2 linked regions of the Oryctolagus cuniculus genome follow. The protein of the gene in region 1 purifies or fractionates together with the protein of each later gene. This does not show direct contact. Links are inferred from orthologs where the notes say so. Each region holds a gene or a part of one and is shown on either strand. Other genes may lie near its edges.

Region 1 (7,290 bases):
CTTGTCCAAGGTCACACCGCCTGCAATCCTTGGGCGAGAGGAGGGGCAGGGTGCGCCCTGGGCCCGCCAGCCTTTGTGCTGGCCTTGTGGCTGGGCTCCCAGACATTAGCATTCCAAAGGCTGCAGGGAGGCTTTGTCCTCCCTCCACGGCAGGCTGGGGGTTGGGGTGGGATGGGGGCAGGGCACCATAAATCTACCTGCTTGTGTGTTCCTCGGGGCCGGGTGGGGGTGGGGCAGGGGAGCCACAAGATTCATGTGCTGTTTTTCTGGGACTCCCGCTTGGGCTCAGACAAAGGCATGAGATGGGGAAGAGGCATCCTACCCAAGGGTCTTTCCTGTCCCAACTGGGGCTTCTGTCTGGGTTTCAGGGAGCTGAGGTGCAGACGGTGGTGGTGACTTTAGATTGCAGGCAGCCAGAGTGGCCCCAGGCGGGGGGGGGGGGGGGACACACAGACTCTCCGCTGAGACCTGGAGTAATCCAGCTGGGTTAAAAAGCTGCTCAATGCAGAATGCTCAGGAGGTGGTGGTGTCAGGCTTGACACCCTATTTCCTATCCCTTCCATGGAAGGGCTCTCTTAGGAAAGAGGCAGGGCCAAGGTTTCCAGCTCAGTGCCATTTCCTACTCATCAGTAGAGGTTGTCCAGGGCACCAAGCCCTAAACTAAACCTAAACTTTCCTCCAGCTCCTCCTGACCTGGAGAGTGGGGCTGAGAGCTCTGACATCAACCCAAAGCAACAGCCCAGCAGCTGAGTTGCTCTGACTGTACCTGTGTGTTTTAATTTGCCGGGCAGAGAACCAGCCTGTGTGTGTTGGATGACTAATGGCTCATTGATGAGTGCCCTGGAAAGCAGGAGAGGGGCTGAGCAAAGGGTGAGGCCTCAGCTGCCTGAGTTGCTGGAAGCCTAGAGAGCAGTGTCCACAGTCACTCCACCAACTTCAGGGGCTCCCCGCCTACCTGAGTGCCACTTCCAGCAGCCCTGCAAAGGATGAAGGTCTCCCTGCTTGAGAGATTCCTCCCTAAACCTCTAGTCCTAGCCCCAGGGCCACCCCCTTGGCAAATCTTTGGCAACCAAGCCCAGGTAACAGACCTCTGCCTAGCACCAATACTGCTTTGGCTTTGAGTCATTTGGTCTACATCCATGCTACTGCCCCTGGAGGGCAGAGATCACGCTGATTTTTACCTCTGCCCACACCCTGCCCCCACCCCCACCAACAAGTAGCAGGCACAGGCCCGGTCTGGGCAGCTGACACCTGCCCCCAGGCGGTGCCCCAGATGGAACACTGGCTGTTGCACAGGTCACTAATAACCCATTAATCTCCTCCTCTTAGATTAAAGCCCTGAAATGAAACAACACCTCTGTTCATTCTTTGTTTGCTGTGTCCCCATTCCCACCCCTTAACTGAGACAAATCTATGAGCTACCTTTAGGGACCTGAGAGTAGAGGAAAGGAGCAGTTGAATATGAACTGGGGAGGTGGCCTAGGAGAAAGAGAGGCCAGAGGTGGCGATGCCTGGAAAGCTGCCTGTCCTCCATCATTGGACCCCAGGCAGCCCTGCCCCTACCAGAGTTGCCCCATTTCTTCACAGCATTCCTAGGTGAACCCAAGGAGACCTCTCAGGTTCAACTAGCAGGTAGGGCACCCCCCCCCCCCATCTAGTTTCCTTTTCCCAAGAGTCAAACGGACTCTGCCAATTCCTGCAGTGCACACCAGCTTCCTTGAGGCCTTAAGGGTCCCAAAAGCCCTGGGAGAGGGCGTTCCAGTAGCGCCCTGGGGACTGGTTTGGTGCCGGTGGGGAACCAGCCCCATTATCCCTGGTAAGGGCACGAGAGAGATCGAGAGAGATCGCGGGGCTGGCAACCTCGCTCGAACCGTTTCTCAATAAAATTTCAGTCCAGGCAGCCAAGTGTCCAGGGGGCGCCAGAGGTTTCAGCTGGACCCTCTGTCTTTTCCACTGCCCATTACTCAGCTCCATGAATTGAGAGGCTGCCTGCCGCAGCAGTGCCTGGTGCGTAAAATGCGCTTAGGGGGATGTGCTACACCTTGAAGCGCCTGAGGAAGATTCCTGGGATGCCCAACCCAGCGGTGGTGTTTCTGAGGACTCTCCCCCTTCTCAAGTACAAGTCAATCCAAGGCCAGGCTGGCAGCACAGGGGAGAGCGCCCGCAGTGCCAGTCTGCAGCCCCAGTTAGAGGCTCATCTTTCTGCTAAACCACGTTTTGAAATTAGACAACTCGCTGCCCCACAAAGAAAACAAGGGGGCTGGGCCAATGATCTCTTAAGTGACTCCAGCTTTCGGAATGCAACCCCCCTGGCCTCCAGCCCAGCGCCCACGGGAGGGACCCCTTCTTCAGCCACACCGGCTGCAGCCCTCCCCTCTTGGCAGCACAACTGAGCTTGCTGAGGTGTCCTGAGGATTTTGTTTTTATTGATTCAAAAGTTCATTCACCAGTCCCTAAATACTCTTATGTACAAAATATAGACTTTTGCTGCTGTGAAATCGCATAATAAATACAAGTGTGTAGAACAAGGGAAAGGCTATATAATTTACCATACCAAAACTCATTCCAAAAGGCATCACATGATTTACAAATTGATTTCTTTTTTAAGGGACGCGCGGGGCTCCAGGCACCTGCTGCTCCAACTCACGTGTCCTGCGCAGGAGGCAAGGAGGCTGGAAAGGTGGTCCCTGCGACCGGCTGGCTGGCTGGTGCTTTCCCAATTCACAGCCTGGTCTCCAGCGCCCGGGAGGGCAATGGCTTCGAAAAGTGCAAGAGGAGAAGGCAGGGGCTCGCCCTCCAAAATTGAGGCGGTGTGGGGCAGCTCCAGACCCCGGACTGGATGCGGGTAGAAGAAGTAAGCGGCGTCTTTGGAGTAGGGTGGGGGTTGGGGGAGCAAGCACCGAGAGACCACATGTGGGGTTCAGTTACACTGTGAGAGGGGTGGGCATGAGTGAGAGTAGGGTGATCGGGCCGCGCGGGGGGGGGGGCTGCGGGGGCGTGGTGCTACCATCCTCCTCTTCTCTGAGCGAGGTGCGTAAGTGGGTGCTGGGAGAAGGACCTGAGCCATGCTCGAGCCTGCAATGCCGGCCTTGTGTGCGGCGGCAGGGGTTTTCGAGGCGCGGAGGGCCTGCTGCCAGCCTAATGGAACCCAGCCTGCCGCCCCGCGGGCGCCTTGGCCGGTCAGGAGCAGGAGGCGCAAGTCTGTTTGAGGGCCGCCACTGCCCACCCGCAGTCGCTCCGCCTGCCTCCTCTCCCAGTACCCTCTGCCCAGCAACCGAGTGGCCACTTCACAGAAAGTCTGAGAAAGCCAAGGCGCCTGGGCGCAGGCAGGCGGGGGAGCTGGGCACCTGAAGCCCAGTGCGCTCCTCCGGCGAGGCGGCGGGGCTCAGACTGCCAGCCTGGGAGACTGGAGAATAGAGAGAGCCCCAGTCCCCGGGGGAGCCGCCGTCAGGGCTGCCCAGCTCCGCAGAGGGCAGCACTGGCTGCTCTGGCCCGTAGAAGCTGTGGTCGGCTATGCGCAGCGCCTGCGTCAGCGCCCAGATGTAGTTGTGGGCGAAGCGCAGCGTCTCGATCTTGGTGAGCTTCGCGTCGTCGGGGAATGTGGGCAGGACTCCGCGCAGCGCGTCCAGCGCGGAGTTGAGGTTGTGCATGCGATTGCGCTCGCGGTCGTTGGCTTTCTTGCGCCGACTCCGTCGCTGCTTGCTCAGCGCCAGCTCGCTCTTGGGCCGGCTGCGCCCCCCGCGCCGCGCCCGGAGTTTCCTCGCTGCCCCTCGGCAGCCGCCTCCTTCAGCTTCCGCGCAGTCCCGGAGCATAAGTGTGGGGCTAGGCGGGGCGGACAAGGCGCTGGGCACTTCGCGGTCCGAAGCTCCGGGGAAGGGTGGCTCGGTCTCATGGGTCGCTCGGAGAGTGGGCGCACCCAAAGGATGAGGCACCATCCTGCCGCAGGGTAAGAACTAACGGTAAGAATGGGACAGTGACCTAGGGCGGTCCCCGATCCCGAGGCCAGGTGGGGGAAAACTGAAAAACACCCCCTCCCGATCCGAGGGCCCCCAGTACCCTCGCTCGCCCCTCGGTGGCCTCCAAGTGTTACCTTGTTGTGCAGGCGCAAATAGAGAGCCGTGAGCAGCGGGGAGCTGAGCGCTCCTTTCTCCGGCCAAGTTCAGCTGAGCTGCAAGCGCCCCCGCCTGGGAATTGCCCCAGCCTCCGAGGAGAAGAGGAGAGTGAAGGGGGTCCCGGGTCTCTTTCGCTGTCTTTCAGCCGGCAGAGACCGCGGGGCTTGTCTGAGCTGCGAGGCGTGTGCCCCTTGGCACGCTTTATCCGTTCGGCCTGGGCCAGGAGCGTGCCGGCCCGACTGCTGCCCGCGCCACCGGCCAATCAGCGCAGGGGCCCGGGGCCCGCGCCACGCGAGCCCGCTCCTCCCCCGCGGGGCACAGCTGGATTCCGGACAAAGGACCGGGGCCGAGGGGAGGGGAGCGCTGCTCTGTTTGCTCTCTCCCCGCGGGCTCGGTCCCAGCAACTCTCGGCTCCTCAAAGAGCCTCGCCTAGCGAGAAGAGGCTCGTCTGGCTCGCCTCCCGCTGCCCTAGACCGCTTTGCTCCTATCCCGTCTTTCCTCGGCATCTCTCCAGACCCTCTCGGCAACCCTAGGAGGCCTGCGGGCAAGGCCAGTTCCCGCGTGTTACACAAGGGGCAATAGAGGCACGGAGGGCCAGTCGGCTCGCCCGGAAGTGCACAGCAAGATGGTGCCTGGACGCTTGAGTAGCCGGGTGTCCAAAAGGTTACCCTGCCCTCCTGCCCCACGGGTCCTAGGGTGGCGCTGCAGGGACTCTATCGGGGAGTTAGATTGGTCTATGCCCCTTCCATTCAGAGCCCTGGGGAGGGGGGTCCGAGCCCCTGCCCCTCCCTGAGTTGCGCTCCTCATCCCCATCTGGGGGGCTCAGACATTTTGTCACCCCCTCCTCCAGACTCCCATCCCCTACTGATATTTTGCCATTCCCACTCATAGACAGTAACCTAGCACTCTGACCAGGGCCTGGGTGCCCAGAGCTGGGGGTGGGGAGTGTGAGAGGTCCAGAGGGGGCCAGGCGTTCTTGGCAAGCCTTGGGTCTTGCTAATGCGTGGGTGTTCTGGCACTGGGATAAGGGGATCAGCCGTGTCTCACTTTAGTCCCCCACTCCCACTCCTGCCAACCACAGGGGGCAAGGGCTGCCTATTTCACCTGGCTCGGCTCCCTGTGGAGCATCACACAGGGGTTCCCGGCAGCACTGGGCAGGGACTGTCCAAAGCCTTCGCCTGCCTGTCTGCAGGTCTGGAAGTCTTTCCAGAGTGCCTCTTCCCTCTTTACCCCTCCCTTCCCTGCCTCAGACACTCTTCTGCTTCTAGTCACTCAGGGAGAGAGGGGTTGCTGCTTCCATACCTCTCTCTTGACCAGGATGTGCCTGGGAAGGAAGCTGAGGTCGGAGATTCAGTCTCCCAGGTGGTGAAAGGCTTCCATTTCTAGCAGGTGCAGGTACCTTGGGCCTTGCCGAATCTGCAGGAAGCAGGCCACAGGACCCAGCTGACTGGAGATCCGATGAGGGGGTGATATAGGTCTTCAGGGTCTGCCCTGTTGTCAGCCTCCCACCACCCAGGCTGCATGGTGGGTGAAATTCTCTCCAAAACAGAGGGTGTGATGCTTGGGGGCCGGTGGGTGAGGCAGGCTGCAGGATTGGGCAGGGGTCTCACAGTTCCTGTGGATCTCAGCTGATGGGCTGGGAGCAGAGGCACCTACCCTTGCTGCCTGGAAATGAAGTTTGGGGTCAGGGTAGGAGCCATCAAAGGGACCAGAAGGGATTTTTGGCTCAGCATTTTTGCTGTGGCTCCTCCCTTAGGTCAGGACTTGGCACAAGCTTGTCTGTCATAATGAAAACTGGAGGTCCCCTTTACAGATGGGAAAATCAAGGCCAGGGGAAGGGTGCCTCAGGTCATACAGCTTATTCTATCAGAACCACATAGAACTTAACATCCTGACTCCTAGTCCTGGATGTTTCCCTTGCGCAGGCTGCTTTTCTTAATTTGGAGGAAAATGTTTTCTCAAGGCAAGAGAGACCTCAGAGGGAGTCCTGAGTGTGTGAAGACTGATGGGATTGGATTGGACTGGAAAAAATTAATGGCCCCCATCTCCCAGCCAAGGAGAGGTGGTTGCACACACACTCGTCTTGTCTTTCCACTTTCCTGCAGGATTTAGAGCCTTGAAAACTAGGGTCTGGGAGAGGACCCCAAAGCCTGTTCCTAGGACCCCTGGTCCCCTCCAGGCTCCTTTGAGGGAGCCCTGACCACGAGGGACTCAAGCACCCTTGTGAGTCCCTGGAGAATTGAAGAGCAGGCCACAGCTGAGACTCTGATATAGAGGTGGAGTTGCGAGAACATGGCCTAATGGGTACTGGCCAGAGCCACAGGGAGGCTGCCTGCGCCTGAGAGGATTCTGGGATTCTTTGGGGTTGTCTTGATTATAGAGGATTCTGAGACCCGCCGGGAATTCTAATCCAGCTTCCCCATTACTCCTTCAGCTCAGAGCCCTCTAGGGCTCTCAGGCCGCCACCACTCCTCTTTGCGCAAAAAGCAGTTAGGAAGAGGCGCGCGCCGCGGCGGAATCAGCTGCCTCCCTGCAGAGGCAAGGATGCGCGCCGCTCTCGCTCCGGCCAGGAAGTGGGGGCGGAGGTCGAAGAGTCCCTGGAGATTCGAAATTGGTAATCAACGCCCTCCCTCTTGGCTGCCGGGGACGTACAGACCCCTATCCAAAGTTAATTCCTGAGCTTTTGGCGGCGGAGGCGCAAATGGTTACCGCTCCGTGCGCCCTGGCTATGTTTGTAAAACCGCTGGTCCCGCCCGGAGCAGAGCCCGTTCCCGCAGCTCCTAGTCATCCACCGCCTCCAGGAACCCCGCGCCCCTCGATTCCTTCGGAACTAGGCTTGCTTGGAGGATGAAAGGGTCCAAGAGAGAGGCGACAGCCAGGCGCCTGGAGAACGCGGGCAGATTGGAAAAGAAGGAAGGCAGCGGCTGCTCCTACCGCCTTCCCGTCGGCAGGGGAGGGGGGTCTTAGCACTGCCTGGGGGCTCTTTGAGAACGGAGTGGGGAGGGAGGGGGGCCGCAGGAAGCTGAATAGCTAGTGGCTTGCCAGAGAAGGGGGCTTCTTTCTCTCGCCTTCGCCTCGGCACTGAAAGAGGAGAAGACAAAAATCTGGCGAGCGAGCTGCCCGGGCCGAGACGGGCCACTTCAAACAGCCCTTCAAACAAAAGGAGACGGCGAAAAGA
Region 2 (7,871 bases), on another chromosome or scaffold:
GTCTCAGCGTCATGCTGGCTGAGTGGGAGGCAAACCCCCTCATCTGCCCTGTGTGTACAAAGTAAGAGTCTTTAAAACCTTTCCCCCACTGTTGGTGAGTGCGGTCTCTCCCCGGCGTTGGAAAGGTTTGGGGAGCCAGATCTGGTGGCCATGATGCTCTGGAATCCCCATTCTGCTTCTAGGTACAACCTGAGAATAACGGGCGGCGTGGTCGCGTGCCATTGTGGCCTGTCCATCCCATCTCACGTAAGTGTTCTGCCCCGAGTTCCCACACGGATCTGCTTCCTGGGAGAGCCCCCAGCGACGGGCTGGAGCCCACTGTGCCCATCTCTTCCTAGCTTAGTGTTCAGGGATGTCACGGTGGCAGTCCAACACACATATGGTGAATGTGGTGAGAGTACATATGGTGTGCAAACTGGCAAACCTCACAGATCTCCACGGGCTCCTCCCCTAGAGCGCTGGCACTGCTTAAGAGAGACCCCAGTTTAGAACTGGAAATGCCCGTATGTGACCTTTCATTAAAATTTCCTGTGTGAAGACACACTTCCATTCAGAATGTAAGTTTTGGTGATCTTTAAAAATAGGGGAGGTGGTCTCTTACCTGACATGGGGACTGCAAATAGTCAGTGAGTTGAGCCGTTGGTTCCAGTGGAAAATTATAAAAATGAAACATACCACGGTAAATTTGACACCTCTTAAGTTTATTTACCAGTCTTTGAGTGGGGCTGTGCTGGGGAGCTGAGTCATTGTTTCTACATAGAAAACTCTTGTTTGTTAGCAATGGATAAAGCAACTAGTCATACAACTGTAGGATTTTTTTCTTTTTTCCCATCTTTTATGTATTTCAACAGCTTTTAAAAAAATTGATTGGCAGAAGTATATAAATGTGTGAATGTGTGTGTGTGTGTGTGTGTGTGTGTGTGTGTATAGAGGGAGGGAGAGCGGGCAAGCAAGCACGAGCCAGCCCCATTTGCTGGTTCACTCCCAGCAGCCCAAGCCAGGAGCTGGGAACGTTCAGGTCTCCCGTGTGCATGACAGGATCCCAACTACGTGCCCCACCATCCGCTGCCTCTTAGAGTGTGAATTAGCAGGGAGTTGGAGTGGGAGCAGATCCGAACCAGGCACTCCAATATGGGATGGGCCCATCTTAACCAATGTACCAAATGCCCACCCAACTTTTTCAAAAGCAACTTCCCTTTTTGAGTGCTTCCTGAACTTTCTGCTTCTCATCATAAAACTGAAACTTGATTTCCATCCCCTTTATTACTGGTTGCCATCGGAGTTGCAGTGGCAGCAGGTTCAGTGAGATCTCTGGGAGCAAATGCTGCCAGTTCTTGGCAAGGATACACCAGGCCAGGAGGGGCAGGGGCCGAGGCCGGGACCTGTCCTCCTAGCTCTCAAAGTTCAGGAACGGGGGGTGCCCTGGGCAATCTGGAGAGGTGGTGAGTGGACACTGGTTCAGAGATCCTCCCAGCAGCCATGAGCCCACGCAGATCTCCAACTGTGGGGGAGGAAGCCATCCCAGGGAGCCAGTGCTACGCTGGTTAGCAAGAGAAACCAGGATTTTCAGCCTGTCAGCTGTCAGGTAACTAAGACGCGGTTGTGGTCGAACTTTTTTTAGTCTCCAGAGCTGACGGAGCAGATGCTTCGAGCGTCTTTAGAGGACAGCGTGAATGAGCACAGCACCCATTGTCCCCACACCCCTGAATTTTCAGTCACCGGTGGAACAGAGGAGAAGCCCAGTCTTCTCATGAGCTGTCTGGTAAGTCTCTCCTGGGACCCAGTGGTTACCAGCAGCTCAGTGTTGTCTTCCCACTCTAGTAAAAATAATGGCTCCCAAACAGGTCAATGTTTAATGCAGTTTTTTTTTTCTTGGAGGAATTGCTGGCACAGAACTGTGAAGGCCACAAGTCATTTCAGCTGGAGGCCAATCATTGTGTGAAGGGGAAGAGGCAGCCTAGGAGTGGGGCAGGAGTGTGGGGGTGGGGGTGGGGGAGGGTCAGGGAGCCCACCTGCACTGTGCTTGTGTAGTCAGCTCGGTAGTCCTAAGACCCAGTGGGTCACCCTGACACCCCTGCAGGTGGGTACAGGACAGGACGCACAGCAGGGCCACCTTTCAGCAAGTCTTCAGAAGTCCAAGGATTAGTGTCTGGCAACTCAGGTGTGAGGGACAGGACTACACAAGGAGGTACTGGAGCCACCTGTCTTAGACGCCTTAAGCTTGCTACAGGAACCATTATTTCTTATAAGTGATATATTACATATACATATACACACACATATATTAAGGTGATCAGAAAGTTCATAGGGTATGGAAGTAAAATATTTTTATTTTGGCACAAAAATGTCTAAAATCTGTGCACGAGGGGTCTTCAGAAAGTTCATGGGAAACATGTATTATGAAAACTTGAGGTATGGATTTCATAGCGAGAGCTGGTTCCAGGACGGGCGAGCCCACTGTTGGGCGTTTTGGAGGGGAGGTGAGAAACAGGAGGAAGCACAGTGGTTCATCAGGCTCCCAGGGATGAACAGTCAAAGGTAGACATTCCAGCAAGCCTGGGAGGTCGGTCCACCAGCAGCCCCTTTGAGGACCAGCCGCTCTGGCTGAACTCATTCCCACTTGTAACTGAAGCCGACCAGCACCGTCCAGGGTGTAGACATTCTAATTGTTGCCTCAGTGTCATTACTGGTTGCAGCTTCTGGCCACGGATGTGGGTAACTTTCCTAACAGATATGTCCTGTTTCACTCCAGGCCTGTGACACCTGGGCTGTGATCGTCTAGAGCTGGCCTGCATTCGCACCGTTCTCCTGGGCCGACCACAACTCACTCCCTCTCCAGCAGAGGCCTTGTACATAGCAACCTTTAACTTATAATTTATTTTGTATTAAAACTTTTCAAACACCTCTGCTCTTGCTGTTTCGTGGTCTAGGTTGAAAGTCAAGGAACAGAAAAAACGAAGTACCTTGGAGGAGATAAAACCAAATTTATTGTCCATCATTGTATGTTATATAAAAATCTAGAATAAGTTTGTACAGAAAAAAATGAGAGTGCAACAGTAATAATTTAAATGTTATTTTCCATGATATTGGGATGGTAACCGTCGCAACGCACGGGTGTCTGGGGGTCAGAGCAGGTTCTGTTCGCTGGCCACAGCCTGCCAGACAAGTTTCACTGTCCCTACTCTACTGGCTCTTGACAAAACTTTTGAGGTCCTCAAGGAAAGTTATGTACTCCTGGTGCTCCAGGGCGGTGCTGAGCTCCACCAGCTCATCTGCAAAAGTGTTGTCCACCCCTCGGTCTGCCAGGAAATCCATCAGGTGGTCATACAAGGCCTGCGGAAAACAGTGTGTTACACTGTGTAATGCCCACTAATGACAATGCTGCTTTCTCTCCTTGAACAAGGCAGGACGCTCCCCTACAAGGCCCAAGAGCACCCCACCCTGTCACTCACCCAGTCCAGGGAGTCTGTGTTGAGTGTGTAGTTGGTGTCCTTCCACTCAGACTCGCCGGAAGCCTGAAAGCTAACTTCCCTGATGGAGAAAATGTCACTCTCAGCCTCCTCCTCTTGTCCGACCTGGGAAGGAACAGTGTTCCAGGAAACACGGGTTTTTCAGGACAAGCCAGACAGGTGCACGGAAAAGGGAGCACTTCTAGTGTGAAACCCCAGCTTTACCCTGAGCTGACTTCCACGCGCCACCTGTCTCCCGTGCTTTGCTGCTCTAAGCCACAGTCTCCCACAGGTGTCTGCTAGTCCCAGGAGGCACCCCTCATCTCCCTGGGTGTCAAGGGCCCACACTCCGTTCTACCCACCTCATCCTCCGGGAAGTGACAGTCCAGTACGAGGGCTTTCTTGCCATCATTCTTTATAACTTCAACCACGAAATTCGGAGTTGATGTCAGTTCAGGCTGAGGAAACAAAAACACGTCTGCGTGTGCCACTATAGGAAGGGGTCAGAGCCCAGGCCAGGCCTCCAACGCTTCTGAGCATCTGATGGCCACCCCTGTCAGGATGATATTTAGCCCTTTACACTCACTTTAAACCTGCATTCCAGCCCCAGCTCTATGCACTCAACTGAGACTCAGATCTCTCTACTTCCTGAACCCATTTCTGCACCCACACACTGCAAAGCCAGCCACACAGCCAAGATCTCTTTCCGGCTTGGCTGTCTCAGGAGTCTGTTACAGCCCAGGTCAGAGGCTGGCGTGCCCGGCCCTCAGTGACAGGAGCAGACCAAGCCCAAAGTCAGGGAGCTGCCAGTCCAGGCGGCTGAGATGGAAGCGCTCAGGGAGCTGGGCTCTCCTTGCAGGCGCGTGAGACAACTCGGTCAGAAGGTCAGAGACCCTCTGGCCTTCATACTGGCGGGCTTCCGGGCTGAGTATACCACTTCCTAAAATGTCAGAAAACCAGACACCCCCAGCTCCCACCGATACGGCCGGCAAGCCAAGATCGCACCTGGCCAAGTGATGCCATCTCTGCTGCCCCTGGCTTTCCTACTCTGGCCAGGTGACTGGTGCTTTCCACCAGCTTCTGACTTAGGAACATCCTCCCCCGGGGAAAAGAAAACGGTGATTTCTGATAGCACACATCTCCCCGTCATGGGAAGGACTCAGTTCTGCTTCCTGTCCACAGGCTCTTAGCTCCTCCACTCCTGGTCCAGCTATCTGCTAATGGGCCTGGCACATGGGTGACGTCCTGGATGGAGCTTCTGGCTTGAGCCTGGCCCAGCCCTGACTGCTGTAGCCATGTGGGAAGTAAACCAGAGGATGGAAGATCTTTGTCCCTGTCAGTCTGCTTTCAAATAAATCTTTGAAAACAAAAACAAGAAAACCTGGTGTTTCTCTAGGCCCCTGGGGGAGCTGAGGCACAGACTGGGCACGATATTACGAGCTTACCTCCTGTTCCTCAGCCTTCTGTCCTTGGGAGGACTCCTCCTCACCATCAAAGGTTGGTGGGATGCTATTGTTGATGTTGAAAGTGACAGTGATCCTACAAAGTCAAAAGAAACGCAACAGACATGGTCCAGTTGTAGTGGAGTAGTCTAGCCGTTAGGTATGGAGGCCTGCTACACAGAAACAATCTGATAGGAACGATGTTTCCCCTTCACCAGCTGACAGTCTACACTGGCAGAAGTGGACAGAGGCTGGGTACCCACATCCAGCCCTAAGAGGGAGCAGGTCTCCAGCACACCTCCATGTGCAGAGCTCCAAGTGATGACGCCATGCACCAGCTCCTCCCATCAGGCTAGCGCCTGCTGGTTACCTACCACCAGCTGACACTGCTCACTGGGGTGGGGTATCGTGAAAGTGAGCAGATAAGAAGCTGGGGGGATGGAACAGAAGCCCCTCTAGGAGCTTTTCTCGGGGCTGGTGGTGTGGCACAACAGGATAGGGCGTTGCCTATGATGCCAGCATCCAATACGGGCACTGGTTCGTGGAGTAGCTCTACTTCCGAGCTAGCTCCCTGCTAATGGCCTGGGAAAAGCAGTGGAAGATGACCCTACTGCTTGGGCCCCTGCCCCTCATGAGGGAGACCTGAAGGAAGCTCCTGGCTTCAGCCTGGCCCAGCCTCAGCTGTTGTGGCCATCTGGGAGTAAACCGGAGTTACAACTCTACCTTTCAAACAAACAAGTCTTTAAAAAGAAAAAAAAAAAAAAAAGCTTTCTCCATGACAAAATCTGCCGCTGGGAGGAAGGGAAGGCACACTGCGGGGATACACCTGAGGACTCAGAGCAGGCCTGCGCCCTGGAAGACAAGGCCAGGCAAAGGACAGTGCGTTCACTGTGGACTCATCCCACGGGCTGGAACACCAACACATGACAACCGTAAGGTACAAGAATCCTCGTGACATTCCATGTTCCGAAGGTTGAGTCACAATCCCTGTGACAGTGGGGTAGACCAGGTGTGGCTGGGCAGCGCAGACCCCGCACCCTGCACACCACTGCTCAGCTAACGGGCTGCTCCTTCCCAAGGCAACAGCGGCAGGCTGAGGCTCAGCCCCAGAAACTATCTGCAACCACGCTGACCAAGCTGAGTTCCTCGACACAGAAACACAGCACTGTTCATCAGGGTATCATTTCTAACGGCCCCAAACTGGCTACGAAAACCGGAAGAAAAGTTCAAGTGAAGCTTCAGTCGTCAACTGACACTGTGTATGGGCGAAACCCCTGCACCCTAGGGGAAAAAGCATCAGAACCCTACACTTCACACTGTACACAAAAGTTGACTCAAAGTGATCACGGGCCTAAAGAGCTAAACTCCTCTTACAAGTAAATCCGGGCATAAATATCTAGAAACTTTGGTTACCCAACAGTTTGTCAAATGTGATGTCAAAAAAGCACAAATGACAAAAAAACAAAAAAAAAGCCCACATACACAAAAAACAAAACCCAGTAAATTGAGCTTCATCAAAATTAGAAGTGTATGTTGGGGCCTGTGCTTTGGCACAGCGGGTCAACGCCCTGGCCTGCAGTGCAGGCATCCCATATGGGCGCCAGTTTGAGACCCGGCTGCTCCACTCCATACCTGGCTCTCTGCTATGGCCTGGGAAAGCAATAGAAGATGGCTTAAGTCCTTGGGCCCCTGCACCCATGTGGGAGACGCAGAAGCTCCTGACTCCTGGTTTTGGATTGGCACAGCTCTGGTCGTTGTGGCCAACTGGGGAGTGACTGCGTAACTCTTTCAAATAAATAAATAAATCTTTAAAAAAATAGTTCACTTGGTGTAGTCAAACAATAACTAAAAAAAGTGTATGTCAATACCAATAACATAGGGAAAGGAAAAAAACACCCAAGGATGGGAGAAAACACTTGCACACCCTGTGTCTGATAAGGGGAACTGCACCCAGAATATCTAAAGCCCACCTTTAAGGCAATAACCTGGTAACCTGGATTCAGCTCCCAGCTCCAGCGTAGCCTATACCTGGACATTTCAATATTTAGGGAGTGAAGTAGCACATGGGAGCTATCTGTCTTTCAAAACGACAGTAAAGGCCGGCGCTGTGGCTCAATAGGCTAATCCTCTGCATTGCGGCGCCTGGCACACCGGGTTCTAGTCCCGGTCGGGGCGCCAGATTCTGTCCCAGTTGCCCTTCTTCCAGGCCAGCTCTCTGCTGTGGCCCGGGAAGGCAGTGAAGGATGGCCCAAGTGCTTGGGCCCTGCACCCCATGGGAGACCAGGAGAAGCACCTGGCTCCTGCCTTCGGACTGGCGCAGCGCCGGCCGTAGCAGCCATTTGGGGGGTGAACCAACGGAAGGAAAACCTTTCTCTCTGTCTCTGTCTATAACTATCTGTCAGATAAATAAAATTAAAAAAATAAATAAATAAAAAACCAGAATCACAAAGTAAATAGAACCCTGTCAAATGCCTGCCAACAAATGAATGGATAACTGACAGAACAAGGACATGAGCCTCAGGCATTGTGGCTCTTTGCCTGAGGGACCCTTTACCTTCCTTCAAGAGACCAGCTCAGTCCTACGCCCTGTACTGTTGCCCACCCTACCCTCTGCATTCTGCATTCCATAGAAAAGCTAGCTCAGCTCCACTGCACCTCATGGCCCTTATCAGGCCTATGCTATTTAAATCCAGCCCGTAAATAAATTCCTGCTCTCTCGGCCACGTGTTCTGTCTGTGCGCATGCCAGTGGTTGGCCATCTTTGCAAATTCACTTGTCTTTTTTTTTTTCCTTTATGATTTATTTATTGTATTTGAAAGACAGAGTTAGAAAGAGATCTTCCATCTGCTGGTTCACTCCCCAAATGGCTACAATGGCCAGATGGAAACCAGGAACTTCTTCCAGGCCTCCCATGTGGGTGCAGGGACCCAAGCACTTGAGCCATTTTCCGCTGCTTTCCCAGGAGCAGAAACAGGGCGCT

The links.
Region 2: the proteins of NEUROG3 (region 1) and C1QBP purify together in Homo sapiens (affinity purification with mass spectrometry; 3 studies listed by BioGRID and IntAct, counting the BioPlex papers as one, with this or other methods). This does not show direct contact. The link is inferred for Oryctolagus cuniculus from reciprocal best matches to the Homo sapiens genes NEUROG3 and C1QBP.

The regions. Positions count from the first base shown.
Region 1 is NC_091446.1:61,288,069-61,295,358, forward strand, and holds NEUROG3 (neurogenin-3), read right to left. Parts: upstream 4,331-7,290; 5' UTR 4,091-4,330; intron 3,937-4,090; 5' UTR 3,936-3,936; coding exon 3,288-3,935; 3' UTR 2,855-3,287; downstream 1-2,854. UniProt on the Homo sapiens protein: Acts as a transcriptional regulator. Together with NKX2-2, initiates transcriptional activation of NEUROD1. Involved in neurogenesis. Also required for the specification of a common precursor of the 4 pancreatic endocrine cell types.
Region 2 is NC_091448.1:50,899,085-50,906,955, reverse strand, and holds the end of C1QBP (complement component 1 Q subcomponent-binding protein, mitochondrial), read right to left. Parts: intron 4,989-7,871; coding exon 4,895-4,988; intron 3,908-4,894; coding exon 3,812-3,907; intron 3,576-3,811; coding exon 3,453-3,575; intron 3,334-3,452; coding exon 3,184-3,333; 3' UTR 2,965-3,183; downstream 1-2,964. Other genes in the region: RPAIN (RPA-interacting protein), read left to right, coding at 1-61, 183-246, 1,622-1,762, 2,753-2,782.